2 linked regions of the Styela clava genome follow. The protein of the gene in region 2 purifies or fractionates together with the protein of the main gene of each other region. This does not show direct contact. Links are inferred from orthologs where the notes say so. Each region holds a gene or a part of one and is shown on either strand. Other genes may lie near its edges.

Evidence for each region. Proteins that work in one complex are often made in the same cells at the same time.
Region 1: the proteins of ras-related protein Rab-11B-like (region 2) and exocyst complex component 2-like purify together in Drosophila melanogaster (affinity purification with western blotting, with the first as the bait; 3 studies listed by BioGRID). This does not show direct contact. The link is inferred for Styela clava from reciprocal best matches to the Drosophila melanogaster genes Rab11 and Sec5.

Annotation. Positions count from the first base shown.
Region 1 is NC_135250.1:5,801,003-5,808,668, forward strand, and holds the start of exocyst complex component 2-like, read right to left. Parts: upstream 3,100-7,666; 5' UTR 3,086-3,099; coding exon 2,415-3,085; intron 2,125-2,414; coding exon 1,475-2,124; intron 728-1,474; coding exon 624-727; intron 231-623; coding exon 70-230; intron 1-69. Other genes in the region: proteasome activator complex subunit 3-like, read right to left, coding at 5,233-6,006. UniProt on the Drosophila melanogaster protein: Component of the exocyst complex involved in the docking of exocytic vesicles with fusion sites on the plasma membrane.
Region 2 is NC_135262.1:17,158,872-17,166,430, forward strand, and holds the start of ras-related protein Rab-11B-like, read right to left. Parts: upstream 3,084-7,559; 5' UTR 2,925-3,083; intron 2,669-2,924; 5' UTR 2,634-2,668; coding exon 2,594-2,633; intron 732-2,593; coding exon 536-731; intron 208-535; coding exon 14-207; intron 1-13.

The DNA of each region.
Region 1 (7,666 bases), on a different chromosome or scaffold from region 2:
TGAAAGTGGATCAGATTTTGCAGTTATTCCAAGGTTAGAATTCTTTTTATATTTTGCATTGGACCTTACCTAGCAGTTCTCACACATTCTGCCAGAGTGTTTGCAGGAATATGAGCATTAGGCCAGATTCCATAAGAAGTTCTTTCTTTCATGTCTTCTTCATCAGCATCGTCAAAATTCAAGGTTGCAGGAAGGAACGCAGCTCGTAGTAGATTAACAAAAAGAATTATCTGAAATAAAAAGTATTGGTATATTATTCTACATGATATTTTTATAAATTTTTCAAAAAGCAGTGCAGAGGTACATATCTATGTACAAATTTGTTACAATTCTTAACTATTTTTTGAAATTTTGAATTGAATTATTTTGCAGAAAAATATTGATATATGGAAATCATGTAACTTTTTGTTGAAATACTTTGGTAAATAATGCTTCAACTATGGATACCAGTGATCAGAGATTACCTATAAATTTTTTCATCAAAATTCCAACATTTGTCCTTTTGTCTTAAAACCCTTGAATAAATGAAAAACCATTAAAATGTGCTATAGACATTTGAGTGGCATCTATCTTATGTACAAGTAGTAATCCTCTAACAGCTATAAAAATATTGTTACACTCACTGTATCTCTCAACAATCCTTTCATTTGTTTACTATGTTTTGATGCCATTTGTTTAAGTCTGTCAACATCGGTGGATTTTTCACCAGTTTCACTCAGTATAATACCTGTATAGGAAATGAGATTGATAAACGGTTAAAAAACTGTGAAGTTAATTAAGTCCGTATTACAACATTTTTAGGTTTAAGTGATAAGGCATGATTACGGTAGTTAATATTTATTTAGTCAACTGATATTCCCAATAGGATGTGGAAAATCGATTCTTGGCTTCAATACTAGTTTCAATAAGACAAAAAAGGCTTACAGCAGGCCTGCACAACTCAAATTACGAGGGCCGCAAGCATAAATTTGAAGGCCCGGCGGGCCGCAAACTTTGCCACAAAAAAGAAACTTCAGCTTCATAAACTGCTAGTAAAAAAATAATGGGATTATTAATAGGTTGCTAATATGCACTGATGGGTGTGAGATTGTATACCGATATTGTTTTAAGCGTGATTCAGTCTGAATACGGAGATATTCAAATTAGGGTTTTTCAAACTGGGGGGGCGAGGGGTCAAGCGACGAATTTTAGGGGTCGAGAAGGGCACACCAATTTCACACAAAGTTCGATATTTATTGAAACTAGTGCAAAACATAAATCTCACGATTTTGAATATGATATAGCGTCGCGCTTGCATAACAATGCCGGCTTTGATTGTTAGACCCGAGAAGTGGCGTGTTTCCAAATCACCCGCGGGCCACACAGAAGTATCTAGCGGGCCGCATGCGGCCTGCGGGCCGTATGTTGTGCAGGCCTGTCTTACAGGATACCAGTGATAAAAATAACTTCGATGCAAAAATTATTTCAAAATTACCAGTGGAATATTGCTCCCATAGGTGCCAGTGTTCTGGAATCTGACTTACAGCAAGTTGAGCCAACTCTTCCAAAAATTCTCTGGGAACATCAGTTGTTTTAGAACTATCTCCACTGCTTGCATTGTGTTCCTTATTTGCTCTTAGCAAATACTTATCTTTGCATTTGAGAAGTTGTCCCTGGACCCACTCGTGTTGATTATTGAGACAATCCCACGCTGGGTCACCTTGCTCATGAAGCTCGAGAAGATAGCGGATCAAACTTTTCTGGCGATATAACGGAAGAGGCAATTCGACCAATTCGTTGCGGAGTTTCACACGAAATTTAGCAATCCTGTCTTCCACTTCAGCGTAGATCCGTTTGAATACGCTGACGTCGGTTTCAGCAAAAAGTGATTTTGCTTTTTCATAATCGTTGATAACGACGCTGTAATCTCCCTTCTCAATATTACGTTGAATATTCAATGGAAGATAGAACAAGAACTTGAATCGTTGGAGAACTCCAAGAGTGTTACGAATCGAGTCAGCTCGGTCCTTACTGTTTAGTACAGTGGTGAATAACAAACCAGCTTTTTCACTTGCCTCTGCTAACAGACTCTCAAGATTAGCAGTGATGTTTTCATTGTTTCTTCCAGCCTCATCTTTAATCATCCTGAATAAGAAGAATAGGATTTTTATATTCTTGCTTGGGAAGAGAAAAGTCGATACGACGTAACGAAACCATGGCCTCTCATCCTGTTACCAGTCCATGTTGGATATCGGTATAGATAGCTTGTAATTTGTTTCAGATGCATGAACTTGATATTACGAAGGTACATATTATAATATAAATACATCAAACCCTGAAGAAAATAATTCCGAATGAAGAAATGGGGAATTTATTACTAGCCCTCTATAACTAAATAGAATACAAAAAAAAAGAAAAAAAACACTTGCACTTGCCTCTGGTGAATCGATGATAACATCTCTTGCACTTCAAAAAATACCGGTAAACTGTCCTTGACATGATTCAGTGGAGCATTGTTTGTATTTTTATTCGCTCGTCGTTTCATGTAGGTATGGCCTTCTTTCAACTCTTTAAACGATGTTGTAAAATGTCGCTCAATAAGGAACCAAGCCGGCACAAAATTTTCATCAGTTGGATCGGGGCTTCCATTTGGGTACATTTCTGGCAGATTCATATTACTTGGTGCCCTGGATACAGAATCATCAGAATTAAGCCCCAATGGGTCACTTCTCAATGACAAAGCAGTTTGCTTCTGATTTCTATCGAGACGTTGGTCCACATATTCGCTCTCATCCACCCATACTGCAGATTTTTCCAGCGGGCCGACTTTTTTAGGTGGCAGACCTGTAAACCCAACAGTGGATGATCCTTTTCCTCCAGACTTTGTGAACACAATGATGTCTCCTTTACCGAAACCGCTACCAGTACGACAAACTATTTTTGAATTTGACTGCCATTCGGAGGTAAGTGTGCAATCTTTATTACATATTAACACACCAATCAGATCAGCTTTACTAGTTCCAAGATTTTCTCCACGAATTGTGATCTTCGTTAGCGGCGTTCCAAATTTTGGAGAGACTCCTGTCACAACTGGTGGTGGTCCCATTATGACCCTTGACCCCTTTCAGGAAATCTAATTAACTACCAGGCTGTACAAAGAATTAATATCACTGATTCATTACATTGAAAGAAGAAAATACAGACGGAAATGGCCACCATGTCCGCGATTAGATGGCAGGTTTTTTACAGGAATATTCACTTAAAACAGTGCCATAATGACTTACGATGAACTCAATTAATGAGGATGTTCACTTCCATTACATAACTTGACAATCGCAATAATAAAATCACATGCGCCAAGCCGTCAAAATTATCACCAATTCTAAAATTGCAACCAGCATTAATGTAAAATTATTGCGTCATAATCGCTGTGAAATTCTACAGTATTTATTTAAACAAATATGGAATAAAGTACAAACCACATACAGTGGTAAATCAGTTTGGATAAATAGTATGCTGTTCAGCAATGTTTTTTTCACTGGTTGGGAGCTACTACAAAACAATCGTCTAAGAACAAATAACAAGAAAAAAATGACTGTTTCAGACACCACAGAATACAATGCTAACCCATTATAATTATATACATACAAAACAGTAAATACGACAATTACTAATGTTTTTGTATTTGATTCTACTACGGAGTCATGAGCGGGAGTTAAATTTTATCATAAATCCTGAATCCAAAATTGCATACTTGATCGGACCGTGCAGACCTGGTGAAAATGGTGCTTGAAAAGATAGGTCTTTTTTTCCATCCCCACCATATTACCAATTTAATTTTGAACCTTTTATAGAAAGCTCTCGCCACCTTGAAAACAACACCCTCACCTGCCCTGTTTTAGGTAATTGTAGGTTCGCTAACCCTGACATCTCTGAATTCACAGATGAATTCTATCATTCTTTAATTGTAATTGGATAATCACCAATTTTTTATTATTTTGAGCGCTGGGATGTTTTTTTGTCAGAGGCTTTCTACAAAAGATCCCAATTTTTCAGACATGTCTTACAAAATCGAAGAGGACAAGATGTAACAGGTATAAATATACTGAAATCAGGAATATGTAGTACCTTGATTCAGGCAGTTTAACAACGAGATTCCTTTATTGGAAAACCATCAAGGTTATAAATCGGAATGGGTATAGTAATATTAATATTGACAATATGGTCTTAGCGACATAAGCTATCTGGGTTTGGCTTAAAACAAATACAGAATTTATGTATTTGGGAAATTTGGAATTTTATTTAATAATAAACAATCAAATTGTATACCTAGTAATTAGTAAATGATTGACTAATATGGTTGGAGTCCTCAATAGTACAGGGAGTCTTATTTTGATATGGTCATAACGTCGTAATCCAACTGGGTTTGGCTTGCAACAAATACAGGTTTTATGTATTTGGACAATTTGGAAATCAAATTTTATTTTGTATAACTGGTAATCAGTAAATGATTGACTAATAGGGGTCAGAGTCTTAAATAGTATGAGGAATCTTCTTCTAAGTGATACTTCACTTATTAATGTTACAACAATCAACTATTGGAAAATAGTATCTTAACACTTTCAAAGTCTTTGCATGTGGGGAGGGAAGGCATTTATTACCAACAGTTGTGCTTTATGAATAAATACGGATTAGAATATATTTTAATGGGCATCCTAGACAATTGACAACTTAAAAACGAGATTTAAACACTCAGAGCTAACAATAATTGAACCAGATAATAAAATAAGATACAATCAAAACCTCCTAAATTCAACAATACACCTAAATTTAGCAACTGGAATTTGGACAATATTTTTTATCATTGTATATCCATCACCTGCGTATTATCATTCTGATTCCATAGTTTGTCAAATAATTTATTCAAATACCCTCACAATAAAAGCCAGATAAAACACAAAGAATGGCAGACTGAATGAAATAATAAAATAGTAAATTAATGCGAAACAGCAATTGTGACAATATTAGACAGGCTCAAAACACATAAGCATAAAAACAGATGAATGAATTTTTTACCAAGCTAAAAAAATTTCATGGTGAACTTTTATTCGTAATAAAAATGTTTTCAATAAAATGCCTCGCCAAATACAGAGGATGAACTAATTCTTGCACCAGCCATCTTGAGTCCAATAATATCCTGGCTTTCTATAGTTTTTTGGATCATATCATACTCTCTCGCCAAAGTTTTAGACTTTAATACATTCCATCAATGTTTGAACTTCTCGGTTTCTTGATTTTTTCGATATTCTTTAGAATCAAGTCATGAAGAATGGAATAATGATTTCTCAGCTCACACACTATAAGTCTCAAGCTAAGAAATTCTTTCTCATCGATCTCCTCAACAAAGCGACGATAGTCCTCAACATGAGGATATTTTGCTACTTTGGTGATAATTTTACCTCTTGTGACAAAATATCGTGATATTTGATCTAGAAATGAAGCCGCTTCGCTTTCAACTTGTCTCAACTCTGCAAGAGTATCTTCTTGAATTGAGACTCCAAAATTATTTCCGTCTTCAATTTTTGGAATAAGATGAGTCACCCACATTCGAACAGTATTAACTTTTTCCATCAGTAGACGAATATCGGGTTTTATTCGATCGATTATTGCTATTAGATTTTTATTGCAGGGCACTGGACCACAAGCAAATGAAAATACTTTGGTACCATCAATGTCACCTCCCGGTCCTACATCAAGTTTACGTTTTTTGGGGCTCGTAACATGACCATCAACGTTATTAAAGTCTTGCACAATAACTGCATTTGGAATGGGAATTTCAAGTTTTTGTGCAATGTTTCTGACGTTTTCAGTCTGTAAAACATCTTCTTTTAAAAATTTATCTAGTTCAATACATTTCTTTGGAAAAAATTCATTGACTAAAATTTCAGCATCTTTAGCGATTCCAAGTTTAAAATCAGAAATTTCTTTCCTCAGTTGCTTATCCTTGATTTGTAAATCTTGATCCATTATTTTATTTTGATATTTTAGTAGTTAAATACCTGTAATACAAGAGTGTGGAAATGTGAAAAAAGCCCTTCTGCTATCAAATTCAGCAATTTTTACAGTACTGCAGTAAATAGTTTTAGTAGGCCTAAGTAAAAGGCTTATACATAAAAACATGAAAAACGCTAGTACTGTTAGTTTCTATAGGCCAGTGGTCTATCTGCCTGTAGCAAAATTTACAAATGGTGCCGGCCAGCCGGTAGTGTAAAGGCAGAGTAAGGGTTATTGAATTATAGGGGTAGTCACTACAGCAGCCTTCCGAACTGAGAAAAACTGACCAAACTATGTTCTTTCGGTACCGGTTACGAACGTATCGGCAGCCTATCTCGATTCCAAAACTCCAACTCTGTCACCACTGCACTTGCACGAATCAATGAGAATTCTTATCTATTTTTCTTGGTTTCCCGTACTACTGAGGAGCTATACACTACCGGTAATATCGTCTTATATTGAGATATGAAAATTAAAATCTCAAAACTTTCAGAAAACAGCCACTCGCAAAATAAATCTTTTTAGCCCATCGTGACTCATGGTATTGCGCGGAGTCAATTCCGGATAGAATAAATTCCAATGTCATTCGTAGAACTGGGAAGCGCAGTCTTTGGATTTGAATCAATATTATAATTACTTGTCTTATATACACTGAAAACGGAAACAACCTAACGTTCTTCACGGATAATTTGCTTCAAGCTGTGATAAAGTGATAACCGGACTGGGTAGTGTGCGAGTAACGAGGCTCCAAATCAAACAGACCTTAGCACGTCGTAAGATAATACTGCTGTCTTTCCTAAAAACTACGCAACAAGCTGATTAAATAGTAATTTGTAGCGCCGGAATCGTAAACCGTTTAACCGTTAGAATCACATTTGGCATCGCACCGCTGATTTCCCCGTGTGGGTCAGCAGGTGCGCATCCTGTGAAGATAATTATGTGCGAGAGACGTCCCAGACTCCTCGTCGTCGCAGGGTGGTTCACGTTTGTCAAAGAAACGAGAATTTCCCGCGGCCGATATGATTAGCCTGGTGTCACTCAATTCGACTTTCAGTGTTGTCGTGCTGATGTGATTCGTAATGATCCGAAAGCATAATCTCTCTGATTTTCATCGTTTTTTGGATTTGGATTTCATTGCATGTTCTGGTGCCGTGGCATTTTATTATAGCCTCGAGTTTCTCAAAATGTATCTAAATTTAACGTACTATCCAATCTACTTAGGTGATTAGCGTACGTATCCTCCATTATTTACCATATTATAGATGTGACAATATAATGCAATGTAACTTGTAATGCATCCTAGTATAGAAAATAGGACGTCGCTTGTCAACACCACTTTTTTATATTGGAAACTATTAATAACAATTTATATAAAACGATGGGAACCCTTTGTACAAAGTTCCCACCAGAAAACATCCCCTCCGAGGAATAACTCCAAAAGCAAGCAATAACGCGAGAAAACATTTAAAATACCTGATTAAAGTTTTTAAGGTTTGTTATTCAAGCACCAACTCTTCAATTTCTTGTCCAACACAATATAATTTTTTGCGCATAAAATTATTTGTGATCGAATTATTCAGACGAAACGGTTTACTTTCAAAATTACGAAAGCCAGAACGATTACCCTAAACAT
Region 2 (7,559 bases):
AGATGTAGCTCACCTGAAAATGCTTTCGCCTCATCAGAAGGTACAGCTCTCAAATGTCGTAAATCACTCTTGTTTCCGACTAACATGATGACTATATTGTTATCTGCATGATCACGGAGTTCCTTCAACCATCGGTCAACATTTTCATATGTCAAATGTTTTGCTATATCATAAACTAACAAAGCACCAACTGCACCCCTGTAGTACCTGTTAAGCAATAAACAATTTTTTCCATCTTTCAAGCAGGACAAATGTAGGCTTTTTTATTTTAGAAGCGTTCAGCAATATTTTCTCCAATCTCCAAAGATATTCTCATATATTCCTTTATTGGGCTCATATTTCAATGTAACGTGTGCCACAATTTGAAATATATGGTTTTTTCAAATAAAAATGAATGGTATGGAATAAAAAATAATCATACTACAACAATATAGTGTCTATATCTATAGCAATTATGTCATCCCAACAAAATGTACGGTCAGGTAATGCAGCCAATATTGCAGATTAAGATACTATATGATAATGATAATCTTACGCCGATGTGATGGCCCTGTATCTTTCTTGTCCTGCAGTATCCCATATTTGAGCTTTGATTGTCTTCCCGTCAACTTGTATACTTCTCGTTGCAAATTCTACACCGATTGTACTTTTGCTCTCGAGATTAAATTCATTCCTCGTAAATCTTGACAGAAGGTTACTTTTTCCGACACCAGAATCTCCAATTAGGACAACTGTAAAATGAAAAAAAAATCTTTGTTACACTGGGATGTTCTGATTATCCCAAAAGATACGAGTTGAAAATGAGTAACATAAAAAAAAATCTGAACTGCAGTGGACCTCAGTTAAAAAACAACTTTTTAAAATCAACTTGGTATCATTAAAGTTGTGTTCACAAGTGCATGGCTAGAATTGTTATTTATATCGACGATACCGTCCCTATTAAACTATCAGTTTGGCTTATCAAATTAATAAATGAGTTTTAATCTTTACTCATAAACTAACGATACTACAGAAAACTTATCCATTGTAAGAGCTCATGACTGAGGGTATAATAATCCATAGAATTAAATGTTCAGGTGTCTATTGATTTATTTAAAACATGTGCATGAGTGCCGATTACATACCTGTGTTTTTAATTTGAGACTACCAATCAATGTTAAATTAATTATCATGCCAATTCAAAGCCGAAACAATAACGACGAACAGGGTTTATTTTACATTACCAAGTAGCCTTTCAATTCAAAGTATTTTAATGATGTTTGTGGTTTTAAGGTTAATGAGAGAAGTTTTTATCTTGGATTTTCCAACTAACAGGTGATTTCAAATTTATTCTTCAAATTCAGAATATTAAAATTACTATTCTGACACTGACACCCATCTGGTATCTTTCTTCATATCTATTATATAACATAATTTCATGGTATAGTATTGGAAAAGAAAATAGCAGCAGAATAATGATACCTCTAAAGATCTCTCATTCCAAAGATGAATGACTTAAATATAAAAAAGACATCCATGTTCTAAAAGCCCCAAAATTTGAGTAAATGGAATCTCATTGTAAAAATTCATGTTAAAAGCTAGTTTGAGTAAATGGAAACTCATTGTAGATGTTCATGTCGAAAGATAGTTTGATATGCCTGATTTCAGGTACAATACAATGGTATTTCACATAATAAACAGTTGATGCTCTTTTTGTAAATATGAGAAAGGTCTTGTCTGGGTGCAAGCCGGCACCAACATCAGTGATGCAATACCAATAGTTCAATAGAAAGCTAATGCAAACACACAATGTATGTCAAATTTGTCTATATACTGCAAATCATTTATTAGCTCTGATGCATTACATACCCAACATAGTTGTATGCATTGATATTTAAAAGAAAATTCTTATATTCTCTTGTTATCAAGAGCTATATCAAGATAAATATCTTACACTATCTTGTATAGGCTACTAATTATAATTTGATACCAATTTAAATGTCTTCACAAAACATGTATATTTTAATAAATTTAAAAAAAATATATATTTCTCCATTTGAAAAATGCAGTCATTTTAACAACAAAATAAAGTACTACAAATAAATTCTATATATAATCAACCGCAACAAAATGATGGCCAAAAAATTGATTAATATATATGACATTTGAGTCCAACGGCAAAGCATTTTCTAGTCTAGCTAAAGTAATAATGGTGATATTACATAACCTAGTGAAAAAAATTCTAGTGTAACGTGATGTATAATTTTGAACTTTCATTTTATTAAAAACCGCCACTTTTGAATTTGTGGATGTGTAAAGGCTTGTTCATGAGCTCTAATAAGATTTCAGTTGTAAAATGCTTTAAAATAAGTATCAAAATAATTAATGATTAACAAAATTATGAATCGGCCTGAATAGACAAACACCACAGCGGTTGAAAGACCATATATATCGAGAGTTTGTATTCACAATATAGAATGTAATTTGAATTGAGAAATATGCCTATATTTGGTCTGGAGATAAATGCCTAATTTAACAAAGGATCAAGCTAGTCACATAGTATATGTCGGACATACCAAAATTTCATTTAGTGTATTTATGCCTTGATACAAACCTTTAAATAAATAATCGTATTCATCATCTTTAGTACCCATGATTTGAGTTTGTGATTTTGATTTTCAAATTTGCCCTGTGAAGATAAGTATAAAAATCATTACGTCAACGACTCAGCATCAAAAATTCAGACATTGTTCATCAATGTCGATATGCAACCAATATATTTAAAATTCAAAGGAATACATTGACATAAAAGTTTTTAATTCAGAATTACAAATTCTGGCAAATCTATGGGAAAATTTTTTAAAGTCAAAAAGTGAATATAATTTGGTAGAAGTATAACTTTTTATTAATAATGATATGTTTGATAAAACAAAACTAAAACTTACTGGTACACTGGTCCAGAGATCAATAAGAAATCCAGGTAGATTGGAGTGTGATACCCAATTGCTAAAAAGCAATTAACTGTACTGTTCTGTGGCTTGTAGAGCTTAATTAGGGAAATATGTCAATCACACTAAAATAGTCAAAAAAAGAACAAATCATATTTAGATCTTGTTTGGGCGCTCCAGAAGTACGGTATGTGTACCAATATGAAGGTAACTAATTTTGTTCAGCTACTTGACATCAAGTGTAAAGGGATGGGAGCCTATGGGCAGGGGGTATATTCACTTGGCTAACACAAACAGTGCCCAAAATCGTAATAGGACTAAAATAAGGAAAATCGGAATAAAATTATGGCCTAACCCTCACCTGGTACACATACTATGGAGATACCCTTGTTTGATATGACACTGTATGGCCACCCTCATGCTCCATGGAAACTAAACTCTCGTCATTAAAAGAACGTAACATGGTACCATTGATTGATTTTGGGCCACATTGAAAATATTATAAAGAAAGCAAGGCAAAATATAAAGTGACAAATCCATATTTTGCAAAATTAAAACTAAAATAAATATGAACTGCTCACACAATAATTAGTTTACCATTATAAATTTGGCATATGAAGGAATACTCATAAAGGATGCAAATAACAGAAACAAAAACATGGGCTATTTGATGAAACACACCATGGTATGTTCCACAACACACTGGTTTGCAGTGAAGTAGATCAAGGTGTACCAAATAGGTTTTGAGCTCAAACAGAAAGCTTATAAAATGCTTGGTCCATGCTGCACTGTTTGTTTTCAAACTACCCTTATATATTAATTAACAATTATTGTTGGGTTATTTTTACTTGATCCAAGCCTTCTGAGCATAATGAACATGAACCGTGTGGGCTTTGTCAGCATTTGAACTACCGGTATTTCACACCTGTTTTTCACTGAAATGGAGCATACTCTGCAATAATTGTTAACCCTAGGAAAATACATAGGTATGTAAATCGCATAGTGAAGACTACTGGATATAACAAAGCAAGCACTTCAGTAAGATATTAATATGACACTGCTGATATTCGTAAAATGTCAGCAACCAAAGTAGGGCCATTCCAAGGAACTGTTGAACTTCATAAATTTTTTTAATAGTGTAGTGAAAGTAATTGTTTTGTATTTTTTATATCAAAAGACACTTGAACGTTATTGGACTGCATTCATTTCACCAAAAAAGTTTAAATTTCATCCAGGTTTTTGATGATTTGAACAAAGTGGCCTGAAATGTAGAAATTTTGTTTTCTGGTGACTCATAACATGAATTGTTTGATTGTCTGGTACAGTTATTTCATTTCGAATAGATGCACTAGACTTGAGTTTGAGCCTAAGTGTTTGCAGTGCTGTAGGACATGTCTTTACCGATTTAACGATTTATTACCAGAATTTTAAGAGATGATAGAGGCTGCTGTTCCAAAGAGGAAAAATGTGTCCCGTACAATGTGCACATTATCGTCATGGATCTACAGTGTTACATTGAGTAACTTGAGTGACACAGAGGGGTCTGTCCTTCAGTTATTGCACCAGAAAATAGCTCTTGCTGTACTAACGCGACAATTTACAACACAACACAATGAAACGTTGATGCATGGTGAACTTGCCGTTCCGTAATGTCACGCTATATTTTATATCCACTAAGTGAATCTTGTTTTTACCTTTCGTGCAGTTTTGTTCAAACCCTCATAAAGCAACTGATTGGACAATGATACAAAACATGTAGCTGACAATGTGAAAATATAGTACATCTCACAAGTCCGTACATTGTTCCGTAGAGTCACTTGGAATAGCCCAGTACGCAAGTAATAAGTTCCAAACGGACGCCAAGAGCAAGTGGGACAGGACTTAACAAATCACAGCTAACCCCAATACAGCCCATGTTACAAAGGCACAATGATATTCTTTCGCTTAGAAAACAATAATACAAAAGAAAAAAATCATTGAGTCTAAAATGTTTGATGGAGCCACATAAACAAGTATGAATGAACTTATTACAGTATTTCTGTATTGTGGATGAAACAAATGTTCAAAACTGGGGTACACGTCCTCAAGTACTTCTACTGGCAGACTGGGCGTAGGATAACGATTTTCGCATATAATATTCCTAACCCCAGCGACTTCGCAGTGATGTAATTTTCGGATTACGTAGTCAGGTGGGGATTAGGCATGAGATATACAAAAATTGTCCAGCCGGGCCAATTAGAATTACTTGCTGCGTGTACTTCACGAGACCCCAAAACTGGAACCTATTTCAGGCTGTTTTGCATGTATTTGAAACAATGTTCGCAATGGCGTAGCCAGGGGGGTGGTTTTGCGGGTCGAAACCCCCCCCCCCCCCCTTTTAAAATGTAAAAAAAATAAAATCAATTTTCTGTATCATAGATAGCAATTTTCCGTAGCTTGAAATGCTTTTTAGACCCACAAGACTACTAGAAACAGGCGTATTCCAGAGTTCGATCGAACCCGCTAGCAGTTTCGGTCTAACTTGGCAAAAAAAAATTCAGAACCCCCCCCTTCGAAAATTTCTGGCTACGCCCTGGCATGTTCGGTATGATAGCAGGGGTCTGGTGTAGTTTCATAACTCAAGTACTTCCAATGGGCGTAGCATAACAACTTTTGCATATGTCAATCCCAATCCTAACCTCCACCTGACTGCGTCACTGAAAAATCACGTCAGGACGTCCTAGTGCAGTAGTGATGTAATAGGGCCCTTCAAACTATAAGAACTGTCATCCATAATGGGCAGGCGATCACCTAAATTTAAGCAAGCTATTTCTCTCGTTTTTGGATGACATCGTCAGGTGGTGGTTAGGATTGACAAAATCGTTATGCTACATCCACTAGAGGTATTTGAGATACGATACTACACAAGACCCGATAGCAGTCCTTAGCAAGCTTAATGCAGTAATGATTTCATGGTGCCGCGGTGTCCAGTAAAGTCATTATAACGATATGAGTTTTTTGAATCCAACTACTGAACTACAATATTTATCTGCAAGATGAGTCCTGTATTCTTTCATGCGCCTCGAAATACAGCATCACTGTACCTAACAGATAGATTATCAGAAACCTATAATGCCAGATCTAAAATCAAACGTTTAACCGCAAGCACACTATTTCATTGGTGGACATTCAGACATTGGGGTCTAGTAAAGTTTAGTACCACAAGTACTTCCAGTGGGCGTAGCATAACAATTTTTGCATATGTTATTCCTAACCCTCACCTGACTACAGGACTATGCCATCCAAAAATTACGTCACTACCACGTCATAGGGATTGCCAAAGTATAACTACGATCGCCCAAAATGGCATCTGCGCCGCCGATCAGAACTTGCTAAAGCCGGCGATCTCTCTCCTATCGTGATCGTTGTGACGAGAAAAATAGCTTGCTCGATTTCGGGTTATCGTCTGCGCGTTTTGGATGACCATCCGCATACTTCGGTGAGCCGTATTACGCCACTGTGACGTCGGAATGACGTAATTTTTCGGTGACGTAGTCAGGTGGGGGTTAGAATTGACATATGCAAAAATTGTTGAGCCAGGCCAACTAGAAGTGGATGTGGTACTAAACCAGTAAACTATACCAGACCCAGACATTGAGTGGGTGTATAACTGCTGAACTGTATAATGGTATCTCTCAGATGCCCCAACCCTTAAACTGATGCCTAGATGAGAGGGAATTTACAGACTATCTACGTACGGTCCCGGTACCGGTACTATATAGCATCAAAATTGTTACAATAGCATTGTGAGGCAAGTTTTATTTTTCATTGGAATGCAGGAATGGCATGCTATTTTCGGGTGGAGACTGACTCGCCATGGAGGCTGGTATGACATACCAACAGTACCAATGCGGTAATTCAGTAATATTTTGATCTAGCCAGACTGTACAGCTGTAAGAGAACTAGCAAATCGCAAGCAATACAGCAATGACCGACTGACGTCTCCACCGTCAGTCGTAGTCTACCGATAAGGTGCTGAAATAACTCTGTATCGTATACCGTAATAGTATAATGAAAATCAGATAGAACTACATCCTATCCCTGGATACGTTACACACAAGGTGGTACGCCACTTACATTATTCAACACCCTCGCATAAAATACGATAATACGACTAAATCAAAACGAAACAAAGATTTGGCCAGGCCGGCACAAACGCCCCGATGTCTCAGATTGAAACGCTTGCGCGATTAATGTGACGTCATAAATAACGACGATTTCAGGAAAATATGAGCTCACGTGACGGAAGTTGACAGGAGGAGGATGGGGTCGCGATCGGGTTTGCCGGTCGTGCATTAACTTTTGTGGTGTTTTCCCGCAGTGGGATTAAATATTTTGAAAACGAATTATTTTTATATCGAACTCACTAATAACAGCTTCTCTCATTTCAGAAAATATATATGTCACTGAGTTCTACCGTAAATATGGTTCTACCGGTACTCCTATCCTAATGATCTTGCTGTCCTGGATAAGGATTACGGAGAAGGTTCGTGTCGGCTCCGTGGAGGGAGAGAAAGGAGAAAAAGAGTAAATAGCCATTGTGGTTCTATGCTATTAAAAGTTAAATGAATCAAATACATAACTTTTGTAACT